Macaca fascicularis: one gene and its partners. The protein of the gene in region 2 interacts with the protein of the main gene of each other region in a pairwise test. Links are inferred from orthologs where the notes say so. Each region holds a gene or a part of one and is shown on either strand. Other genes may lie near its edges.

Evidence for each region.
Region 1: the proteins of PNMA5 (region 2) and ZMYND19 interact in binary tests that used the Homo sapiens proteins (3 or more experiments, as listed by UniProt). The two-hybrid records come from large-scale screens. The link is inferred for Macaca fascicularis from reciprocal best matches to the Homo sapiens genes PNMA5 and ZMYND19.
Region 3: the proteins of PNMA5 (region 2) and ZBTB25 interact in binary tests that used the Homo sapiens proteins (3 or more experiments, as listed by UniProt). The two-hybrid records come from large-scale screens. The link is inferred for Macaca fascicularis from reciprocal best matches to the Homo sapiens genes PNMA5 and ZBTB25.

The regions. Positions count from the first base shown.
Region 1 is NC_088389.1:1,728,907-1,732,551, forward strand, and holds part of ZMYND19 (zinc finger MYND domain-containing protein 19), read left to right. Parts: intron 1-40; coding exon 41-147; intron 148-742; coding exon 743-883; intron 884-3,645. UniProt on the Homo sapiens protein: May be involved as a regulatory molecule in GPR24/MCH-R1 signaling.
Region 2 is NC_088395.1:159,084,018-159,087,742, reverse strand, and holds the start of PNMA5 (paraneoplastic antigen-like protein 5), read left to right. Parts: upstream 1-838; 5' UTR 839-1,136; exon of another isoform or gene 1,137-1,150; intron 1,151-1,330; 5' UTR 1,331-1,452; coding exon 1,453-2,799; 3' UTR 2,800-3,725.
Region 3 is NC_088381.1:132,324,221-132,327,911, reverse strand, and holds the start of ZBTB25 (zinc finger and BTB domain-containing protein 25), read left to right. Parts: upstream 1-857; 5' UTR 858-965; intron 966-1,622; exon of another isoform or gene 1,623-2,061; intron 2,062-3,691. UniProt on the Homo sapiens protein: May be involved in transcriptional regulation.

The DNA of each region.
Region 1 (3,645 bases), on a different chromosome or scaffold from region 2:
TGGAGGCTTTTTAACAGCTCTTTCCCTTGTTCCTTCTCAGGCCCGAATGGAAGTGGATGCAGATGGAAATGGTGCTAAGATATTTGCCTATGCCTTTGACAAGAACCGAGGAAGGGGCTCTGGGAGACTCCTTCATGAACTGCTGTGGTGGGTGTTTCCAAGCTGCCTCTGCCCCCTGCCACTGGGCTCCTGGGTGAGCTCCGATGGCACAGGGCGCCTGGAGCCCCCTGCCCCACTGAGGCCCTGCCTTGCCTTCCCTGAATCTCGCAGTTATTTTTGTGTGCTTTGCCACTAACTCAAAGGAATGAATGATTTGTATGTTACGCTTCAAACACCAAGTGGACTTTCTGCTGGAAGCTTGCCCAGGACTGGTGGCCTCTGCAGGGACGGTGGTTGCTCCCCTTGCTGGTTTTTTGCTGAGCCCCCTGGTGTGCATGGTGGGGACCACTCAGATGGGGAGCTGTCTCCAGGCCATCTGCTCAGGTGGTTTTACGTTCCACCCTTGGCTGTCTGTGCTCCGAAGTCCAGGGCCCAGGTCCTCCCTGTATCCCTGTCCTGTTTGGGCCACAGATCAGGTGCTTGGGTTTCTCTTGGCAGCTTCCGCCTGAGGTACCCTCCTCCAGAGGGGTAGGGGCCTGATCACATCACATGGCTGACGTTTCTTCCTGGAGGACTTTGGTTATCTGTGAGGGTGGGAGGCAGCGATGCAGGGTTAGATGCAGGGTTTGCTGTCTGTTTGTAGGGAGCGGCACCGGGGGGGCGTGGCCCCGGGCTTCCAGGTGGTACACCTCAACGCTGTGACTGTGGACAATCGCCTGGACAACCTGCAGCTGGTGCCGTGGGGCTGGCGGCCCAAGGCTGAAGAGACCTCCAGCAAACAGAGGTGGGTCTTCTCAGGGCCCGGTGATGCTGGCAGAGGTGCCTTTTGAGGAGGGCCACCTCCAAAGCTCTTGTTTCCAAGAGGGTCTCGTGTTCCTCCTCTGAGCCCTGATGCTTCTGTGTGTTTTGGGACTTTCATTGTTTTTCCCCAAAGTGTGGAATCCTCCTTTTCTTTATGGGAGCGTGAAGGATCTTGGTATGTGTTTTTGCATTGCTCTTCTGATAATTGGCTCTGGGAACCTCCCTTTAGCTGGCATGACAAAGCGGGGAGAAGGGCTGCCTGCTCCAGGGCAGGGCCCGCGCTGGGACTCGGTGTGAGCAGGGCTTGTGCCCCACACCCCGGGAGGCATCAGCCTTCTCACCTCAGGATTCCTCCCTTCTCTCCTCACCCTAAGATTCCTCCCTTCTCTCCTCACCTCAGGATTCTTCTCTACTCAACTCAGGATTCCTCCCTTCTCACCCCAGGATTCCTCCCTTCTCTCCTCACCTCAGGATTCTTCTCTCCTCACCTCAGGATTCTCTTCTCAACTCAGGATTCCTCTCTCCTCACCCCAAGATTCCTCCCTTCTCTCCTCACCTCAGGATTCTTCTCTCCTCACCTCAGGATTCTCTTCTCAACTCAGGATTCCTCTCTCCTCACCCCAGGATTCCTCCCTTCTCTCCTCACCTCAGGATTCCTCCCTTCTCTCCTCACCCCAATATTCCTCCCTTCTCTCCTCACCTCAGGATTCCTCCCTTCTCTCATCACCCCAATATTCCTCCCTTCTCTCCTCACCTCAGGATTCCTCCCTTCTCTCCTCACCTCAGGATTCCTCCCTTCTCTCCTCACCTCAGGATTCTTCCCTTCTCTCTTCACCTCAGGATTCTTCCCTTCTCTCCTCACCTCAGGATTCTTCCCTTCTCTCCTCACCTCAGGATTCTTCTCTCCTCACCTCAGGATTCTCTTCTCAACTCAGGATTCCTCTCTCCTCACCCCAGGATTCCTCCCTTCTTTCCTCACCTCAGGATTCCTCCCTTCTCTCCTCACCCCAAGATTCCTCCCTTCTCTCCTCACCCCAGGATTCCTCCCTTCTCTCCTCACCTCAGGATTCTTCTCTCCTCATCTCAGGATTCCTCTCTCCTCACCTCAGGATTCCTCCCTTCTCTCCTCACCTCAGGATTCCTCCCTTCTCTCCTCACCTCAGGATTCCTCCCTTCTCTCCTCACCCCAGGATTCCTCCCTTCTCTCCTCACCTCAGAATTCCTTCCTTCTCACCCCAGGATTCCTCCCTTCTCTCCTCACCTCAGAATTCCTTCCTTCTCACCTCAGGATTCTTCCCTTCTCTCCTCACCTCAGGATTCCTTCCTTCTCTCCTCACCTCAGGATTCCTTCCTTCTCTCCTCACCTCAGGATTCCTTCCTTCTCTGCTCACCTCAGGAATCCTCCCTTCTCTGCTCACCTCAGGATTCCTTCCTTCTCTCCTCACCTCAGGATTCCTTCCTTCTCTCCTCACCTCGGGATTCCTTCCTTCTCTGCTCACCTCAGGATTCCTCCCTTCTCTCCTCATCTCAGGATTCCTTTCTGTGCACACAGATGGGTCTTTTTGTTGTGTTCTTTTGCTAAACAGTTTTCGTTAAGCAAAAGTTTAAAGCAGAGAATGTGTGGTTCAGGGCTCAGCCCTTGGCCCCCCACTTGCCTGTGATCCTGAAAGCGGTGCTTTGCATGGGCTTCCCACGTGGGAGGGCAGTTCCTGCTGGCCCTAGAATCAGCCAGGCTGTGAACTTCATGGAGCCCTTGGGAAGAGCCGAGGGACCAGCAGGATGGGGGTTGGGAACCCAGATGAGCCAGAGAGTCCCCAGCCACACACGCTTCGCTGACATGTTCCCCAGTCGCGCTGGGGCTTCTGGGCATGTCCTCAAGCCTCTGGGCAGCCTTTCCTGGTGCAAGCAGTGCGAACTGCCCTAGCAGATGGTTATCAGCAACGCTGGTAAGGTTTAGTGTTTTGGGCTTGGTGATGGTTGGTGGCTGTGGGTAGAATCTTTGCAGTTGTCACCTCAGGGTCATGCTAGAGCCCCGTGCAGCCGAGGTGGAAACAGTGGGAGCACCTGAGACACTGGTTGGTGATGTGGGGACAGTCCCCAGGTCTCCAAAATGCCACCCCCAAACTGCTGTTCCTGCCACCCTGGAGGGAGTCCTGCAAGTCTCCCCCATCCCCTCCTCACTGGGCCTCTCAGGATGAAGGCAGAGCCTGCGGTGTCTCTCGTTCTTGTTGGGCTAGTGGTTTTGTTCCCTGCTCTGTTTATTTAATGTAATTAATTAATTTTACAGATGGGTCTCACTGTGTTGCCCAGGCTGGTCTCAAACTCCTGGCTTCAGGAAATCCTCCTGCCGCAGCACTCTTTTTTTTTTTTTTTTTTTTTTTTTTTTTTTTTTTTTTTTTTTTTTTTTTTTTTTTGAGACGGAGTCTCGCTCTGTCACCCAGGCTGGAGTGCAGTGGCCGGATCTCAGCTCACTGCAAGCTCCGCCTCCCGGGTTTACGCCATTCTCCTGCCTCAGCCTCCCGAGTAACTGGGACTACAGGCGCCCGCCACCTCGCCCGGCTAGTTTTTTGCATTTTTTAGTAGAGATGGGGTTTCACCATGTTAGCCAGGATGGTCTCGATCTCCTGACCTCGTGATGCGCCCGTCTTGGCCTCCCAAAGTGCTGGGATTACAGGCTTGAGCCACCGCGCCCGGCCTTTTTTTTTTTTTTTTTTTGAGACGGAGTTTGGCTCTGTCGCCCAGGCT
Region 2 (3,725 bases):
CCCTTCTGCCCTAGCAGCAGCCCCCCCGCCCCCCACCTCCCTCCTCACCTCCCACCCCTCTCGCCATTCTTCCCCCCACTCCTCCTTCCCCCCCACCCCTCCCCCCTTCCCCCCTCCTCTTCCCTCTGCCAGTTGAGCAGTTTCTTCTACCCCTGCACCAGGGTCCTAGTGGACACCTATGCAGAATCTGAATTGGCATGGCCTGAGCAGGGACATGTGTGTGGGACAGAATCACAGCAAAATACCTGTGCTTTGCCTTGGACAGATCCAGGGAAGCAGGAACCATCACGCCTGAGTCAGGAACTGCCTAATTGGATAGAGTTGAAGAGCAGAGCGACTCTGAAGTGACTGTGTTATTGCAGCATCTGCGCTGCCAGCAGGGCCAACCCAGAAAGGTGAGCAGCTGTGAGGTGGGCCCTGTTGGGAGGGTCTCTGGAACCCCGGCAAAGAGTGTGGAGAGGGGACTGCCTGCCAGCGTTCACAGACTCTGCAGGGTAGGGCCATCTCTAGGGCAAGAGTTGTTGGTTTCCTGCAGTCTGGCAGTGGGGACCTCATCAGGGTCCCTTTTCTACCTGATTTCAGCTTCCACACAATTGAAACCATGAGCTCCTGTCCTTTCAGCACTCACTCCTCAAGCCCACCTCGCTTTCCCTCTCCCACCCTCCTTTTTGCTGGGAAGCTTTATTGGTTGGAGGCCAATGACATCACCTGTTGCTTCTCAAGGACCTTAGCCTTACCACATGACACTCCCCTGCAATAGCAACCCATGGTCCATGGTATTCTCTGTATCCATGGCAACACTGCAGCTTGTCACACAATCTCCACACCCACCACTCTCATTGCATTGCGCAGAGCTCGGCCATCTTTCTCATCTGTCAGGCATTCCTGAGAAAGAGGGCCATTCTACCTCTCCTGCTGCCAGCCTTCACTCCAGCAAGGAGGGTGCTGGGTGACCTGAGCCCACATAGCCCTGAGTGAGCAGTGAGGCCGTCTCCTGCCCTCTTCCGCCTGGAGAGCTTGTCAGTGTCCCCAGATGTCAGGCCCTGCCTCCTGACTTTGGCCTTTTCACTACAGATACCCGAAGCACACACAGCAGAGTCCTCTGGACTTCGAGGAGGAACCCACAGCAGGAGGAGGTCAGCAGGGAGTGGTGAGATGAGGAGATCTTTGCCTGGGGAGAACCTCCACCCTCTACCCTCCCCAAAATAACTTGGGGAACCCTGGGAAGAAGGGACTCCATCCCTGCTCGGGGGTGGGGGCAGAGGAGGGGTGCTTGGGGGTATAGGTTGGGGTAGGCATTAACAATGCTCTCATCCCATTTGCTTTGCAGGCTGTGGAAACCTGGGACCACTTCTACCTTCCTACGTGGCAGTGGCTCAGAGTTATTTGAGTGCTGTCAAACTAAGCTGATTGCTGCCCTAGTATTAGATCAGTCCATAGAAAGTGGGAGCAATGGCATTGACACTGCTAGAGGATTGGTGCAAGGGGATGGACATGGACCCCAGAAAGGCCCTGCTGATCATAGGCATCCCCGTGGAGTGTAGTGAGATGGAAATTCAGGACACTGTGCAGGCAGGCTTACAGCCCCTGCGCGCATACAGGGTGCTAGGGAGAATGTTCAGGAGGGAAGACAACGCCAAGGCAGTCTTCATTGAATTGGCTGACACTGTCGATTACACTACTCTGCCTAGTCACATACCAGGAAAGGGGGGCTCCTGGGAAGTGGTGGTAAAACCCCGTAACCCAGATGACGAGTTTCTCATTAGACTGAACTACTTCCTGAAAGATGAGGGCCGAAGTATGACAGATGTGGCCAGAGCCCTGGGATGTTGCAGCCTCCCTGCCGAGAGCCTGGATGCAGAGGTCGTACCCCAAGTTAGACCCCCACCTTTAGAGCCTCTGAAAGAAAGTATGTGGTACCGGAAACTGAAAGTGTTTTCGGGAACTGCTTCCCCTAGCCCAGGTGAAGAGACCTTTGAAGACTGGCTAGAGCAGGTCACCGAGATAATGCCCATATGGCAAGTGTCTGAGATGGAGAAGAGACGGCGTTTGCTGGAGAGCTTACGAGGGCCTGCTCTGTCAATCATGCGGGTGCTCCAGGCCAACAATGACTCCATAACTGTGGAGCAGTGCCTTGACGCCTTAAAGCAGATCTTTGGGGATAAAGAGGACTTCAGAGCCTCTCAGTTTAAGTTTCTGCAGACCTTTCCGAAGATTGGAGAGAAAGTCTCCACTTTCCTGCTGCGCTTAGAGCCCCTGCTGCAGAAAGCAGTGCAGAAGAGCCCCTTGTCAGTGCGCAGCGCAGACATGATTCGTCTGAAACATCTCTTAGCTCGGGTCTCCATGACCCCCGCCCTCAGAGGCAAGCTGGAGCTCTTGGATCAGCGAGGGTGTCCTCCCAATTTTCTGGAGTTAATGAAGCTTATTCGAGATGAAGAAGAGTGGGAGAACACTGAGGCAGTGATGAAGAATAAGGAGAAGCCATCAGGGAGAGGCCGGGGGGCCTCTGGTAGACAGGCAAGAGCAGAAGCCAGTGCCTCTGCACCTCAGGCCACCGTGCAGGCAAGGTCTTTGAGCGACAGCAGCACCCAGACTGTACAGGGAGGCTTACCCCCATTAGTGAAACGCAGGCGGCTGTCGTGCAGTGAAAGCACTAGGGAAGAAGACTATGGCCAGGCCATGTATCCCAAGGCTGAAAACCAGACTCCAGGCAGGGAGGGGCCACAGGCTGCAGGAGAGGAGTCGGGAAACGAGGCAGGGGCTGGGGCCATGAGCCATCCCAAGCCCTGGGAAACATAGGCTCAGAAGACCCAAGCACTCCTTCCCCTGGCAGGCAGCAGGGACATTTGAACAAAGGGCAGCTTACACTAACAGGGAACTTGATTGGGGCAGAGGGACAGGGAAGCCAGGTCAAGATCAAGCCCCTTTACTTTCCACCAGCTGGAAGGGACTTCACCAACCTAGACCAAATAGCATCTGGTTCAGTGGGGGCCAGGCCCATGGCCCCTAACAGGTATAGGAGACACAAGCAGGGAACAGCTACACTTAGCACAGGGGGTGGCTGGGCTTCAGATGGGGACCCCAACAAAGCAGGGGCTGAAGACGGTGTGGCTGGGGGCTCTGGCCTGGTCATCTGGACACCCCCAAATATCCACCCTGTGAACTTTGAGCTGAGAATGCCCACTGGCACCCAGGCCATGTGGGACCTGGAGGAGCCTGCCTGGGGCCTGCCTCTGCCAGAAGGAGCCAGGGCTGCTGAGGAAGAGCTGTGGGGGAGAAGTGAAGCCCGGCAGGGGAGGCTGCAGGGTCCAGCCCGTCTTTAGGATCATTTACACTGCATGAGGGGAGCCCCAGGAAGGCAGCATTCATGACCCCCTGCACCAGTGAGGAAGAGAAAGAGGAGGAGAATTAAGAAGAGGATGATCAGGAGGAGGAATAGGAGAATAAGGAGGGGCAGGAAGAAAAGGAGGAGGAAGAGGGGGAGGAGAAGGAGGAAGAGGGGAAGGAGGAGGAAGAAGTGTGAGAAGAGAGGACTTGTTGGGGGTGGGTAGTTGTTTTTGGTTTGCGTCATCACCAGGCCCAGGCTCTGCTCACTGCTGTTCCGTGTCAAGAACTCCACCTCTGCTTTGCCGGTGTAGATCTCGGCCAGCAGCTGCTTGTTCTCTTGGGGATGTTTGTGTTTGTATCTGAGCAGCTCCTTTCCAGAGTACCCCAGCGCAGTTCCA
Region 3 (3,691 bases), on a different chromosome or scaffold from region 2:
GTGCCGGCGAGAGGGGGTGGGAAACAGCGTAGCAAGAATTTGCGGCTCTTACGCCTCCTCCCTCGGAGCGCGCCCAAGTCTGCAGCCTCGGGCTCCGGGACACTTCCCCTCCCACCCGCCGCGGAGCCGCAGCTGTAAGTTGAGAGAAGCGGGCTCCAGGCACGTCAATCAACCGGGTTCTCCCGCCTCCCGTCTACACCTCCCCTCCCCCCCTCGAAAAAAATAAAGGCAGAGAAAGAAAGAAAAGAAGGTAACTAATTTGGGAACTAGTCTCCGTAAGGGCTTTGCCTCCGACTCAGGGAGGCCGCACGCCCGGGACCTGACGCGCCGGCAACAAGCAGGCGGCCTGGCAGCCGCCCGTCACCGGGTCCTTGCAACGCGTCCGCCGCGCTCCGGCTCCCCGCACGGGTCGGCGCCGCTCCGGCCCCGCACTCCGCCAGGCCCGCGGCCCGTCGCCCTCCGGCCCGGGCGAAAGTTGCGCAAATAGCCCCACAACTGGCAAATACTTACCGGCCGCAGCAGGAACCAGAGCTGCGGAGATTTTAGGGAGTTTAAGGCAAATCAGCCACGGCAAAGGCGGGCGGAGGCGAAGGGGCCGCGAGCTGCAGTGGCGGCGGCGCTCGGCGCTCGGGTTGGGCTGCGCGGAGAGGCTCTGGCTCTGCCAGGGACTGTGCTGCAACAAAGGACTTCCGCTGCCGCACAGCCGCGCCTGCCGCACCGCACTGAGCCGGCCCCGCTTACGCGGCGACTCCGGGTCTGCCCACCAGTTCGCTGCGGCGTCCGCCAGCCTTCCCCTCCCTCTCGCCCGCCCACCCACTCTGCCGCTGGCTGCTAGGGGCACCCGCGGTCGCCTGTTTGTTGCAACAAGTTTCTGCGTCGGGCTCCGAGGAGGCTGGCGCAACCCGCACCGCGGGGGCTGTCGCGGCAGCGGCGGCTTGACCACCCCTCTCGCCCCTCTCTCAAGGGTAGGCTTGGGACCTCCTCCTCCTCCTGTTTGCACAGCTGGATGTGACTGGGCTCCTCCCGACTCCCCAGGGCAGTATGCGCGGCTGTTTTCCCACTCTGTCCAGATGTCAGACCCCTGCCCCGTTGGGCCCAGCAGCTGGGCCGTCCCTCGCGGTCCGCCTCGAGTGCTTCGGAAACCTCGCTCTGTCCGGTCGGTTCAGGGTCGCCTAGTCCCCGCGCTCCCCCCACCCCACCTTCCGTGGGCCTGTCCGCCTCTGGCCCTGAGTCACTTCCCTCGCCATGCCCCACCTCGCCCAGTCCGCCTCTCCACCCAGGCTCCCGCGGCTCGGCCTCCCTGGCCCCGCGCCCTCATCCCTTCCCCAGCGAACACGCGGGCGCATCCTTCCCCACCCCCACCTTCACCCCAGAACTGAGGGGGTGCCTGTGCTTTTGCACACCCTGGGGAAAGTCCCCGGGTCACGCGGTTGTTTGTGGGGAGCCTGTGACGCTCAGGCTCGTCCCTGTGCTTCCGCCTACAGAGTCACGACTGCGAACTGTAGCGGCAGCGCTCAGAGCGCGGGCCGACCCCCGCCCGGCTGCGGGCGGGAGGGCGCGCACGTACGCACGCACGCACGCACGCACACCCTGGCCTTGGCGCCCCTCGTTCCCCTGCTACCAGACACGCGGTCACGTGGGGCCATCGCGGGCTGCCGGCGCGGGAAGCCGCGCGAGAGCCAGCCGCGGGGTGCGTGAGCCGGCTCCACCGCTTGCTGTGCGCGGCTTGGGAGCCCGCCCCTCCTGCACGGAGGAGTCGGCTTGCCGCCGCGGCGGCATCTGGGTAAGCGACGCGGCCCAGCCCTTGTGGGCTGCCCCGGTCTCAGTCCCTCCCGCCGCGAGCCGCCCAGGGCGGCGGCCTGCAGCTGCACCGGTCGCGGGACAGATGCAAGTAGCTGGGGAGAGGGGTGTTTTTGGTCCCATTGAGATGTCAGGCAGGGCACAGGAGGAAAATACATCCGCGAGTGAGCGCTGGGCCAACAATACCCAGAACCACCCTTTGCTGCTGCTAGGAGCGGCCGCCGGGGCCTGATTCAGGGTGGCACACGGGGTGCCTTGAAGGTGCGGAGCCGTCCGTGCTGCGGGTCCGGGTGCGACCCTTAGCAGGAAACCCCAATAGGCCTGCGGCCTCCCCCGCTTGGCGCCCACCGCTCTTAGGAGCGGGCGACTTTCCATATGCTGCGAGGACGCTGCGGCTAGTGTTTCCACTCCCAGCTTGTGATTACCTAGTTTCTAGGGCAAGAAGACTTCCCCCGCGCCCTCATAATTTATTTTCTGTCTTCAAATGTTTATCTTGTTCTAAGCAAATCCAGTTTTTCTTTTTGAAGCTTGACCCATCACCGCCTTCTCTGGCACTCATTATTTGGAGTAATCAGGTGTTATCAGTTGCGGAGGCAGCGCATAGCACAGCGTAGTACCTGGAACTTGACAGCACCTAGCATGTTTTCAACAGTCAGCGCCCGGGTCTCCCCCAAGGGATTAAATTTGGCATTCTTTCTCTTGAAACTCAAGTTCGTCTGGCAGAGCTATTGATCCTCTCACAAGACTATCAAGTGTGTAGAGTACACTTTGGAATCTCACGTTTTAGAGCTGAGCGGTGCCTTACAGAAAATCTGTTGATCATCACAGAGAAGACACCAGGCCTAAAGAGCGTGATGTAACTGGAGCTAGCTACACCTCTTGATAGCTAAGACTCCAAGGCTCCAGACACCTTGGTGATTGCACTCTCCACTATGCCAGGACCGCAGTGCCAGTTTACCCCACTCACCTGTAGAGAATGTATCCGGCGGAGGTCATTATACTTGGCTTGATTCAGATTATGGAGAAATCAGGCATGGCCACTGTGTGGGTTTGATAGTATTTCTAGTGAGGTAGGCCAGCTATGGTGTATTTTTGGAACTAAAAGCCTTCACCCCTCAGCCACCCCTGAAAATTTCATTGCTGTTCTCTTCAAGAATAACCATTATTTGCAGCATTGGTTGCTTCCTTATGTTAAGGCATCAAAGTCTTCTTTAACAATCTTCATATATTTTAGTTAAGGGCAAATCATGAATCCGTTATCGGACATCAGCTCCTTAACAGGGAACAGAACACTGATGGGATAGGACATGGAATAGATTAGTTCTGAGAGCTGGCAATCAATGAAATATCAAGGTATGGTCAGGAAGAAAGCAGAGAGGAACCCACATAACCTGCTACACCTTTTTTGTCCAGTCCTACCTTGAATGTCTTATTTGCATGTATTAGAGATGGATTCTGCTCAAGTTGGCCGCTGTTTACTGAATACTTGCAGTGGGCGAAGTATCATACTAGCTGCTTTCATAAATGAACTTTGTATCTTTACCAAAGAGGAGATGGTACTGTCTTCATGTTACAAGCCTGAGGAAACAGGCCATTACCTGGGCTGTAGTGATATAGTCATTTGCAGTAGAATTTAAGCCTAGATCGCTTATCTCTCAAGTCCAATCAGTGCTCTTTTGCATTATGTCTTGCTCCTGCTTCAGCCAGGAAGGGAATGAGAGAATCGCCTGTGGCTGATTTATTGGCGCCTGTGGTTGCCCAGAGAGGCCAAGCAGGACTTTCAGCTGCCCTCTATGCCTTACAAAATGGAGCTGTGAGCTTCCACCCTATCTCCTGAGGGGAATGTGAAGGAGCCAGGCTGTCTAGCTGGGGAGGAGGGGCCCAAGTGCCT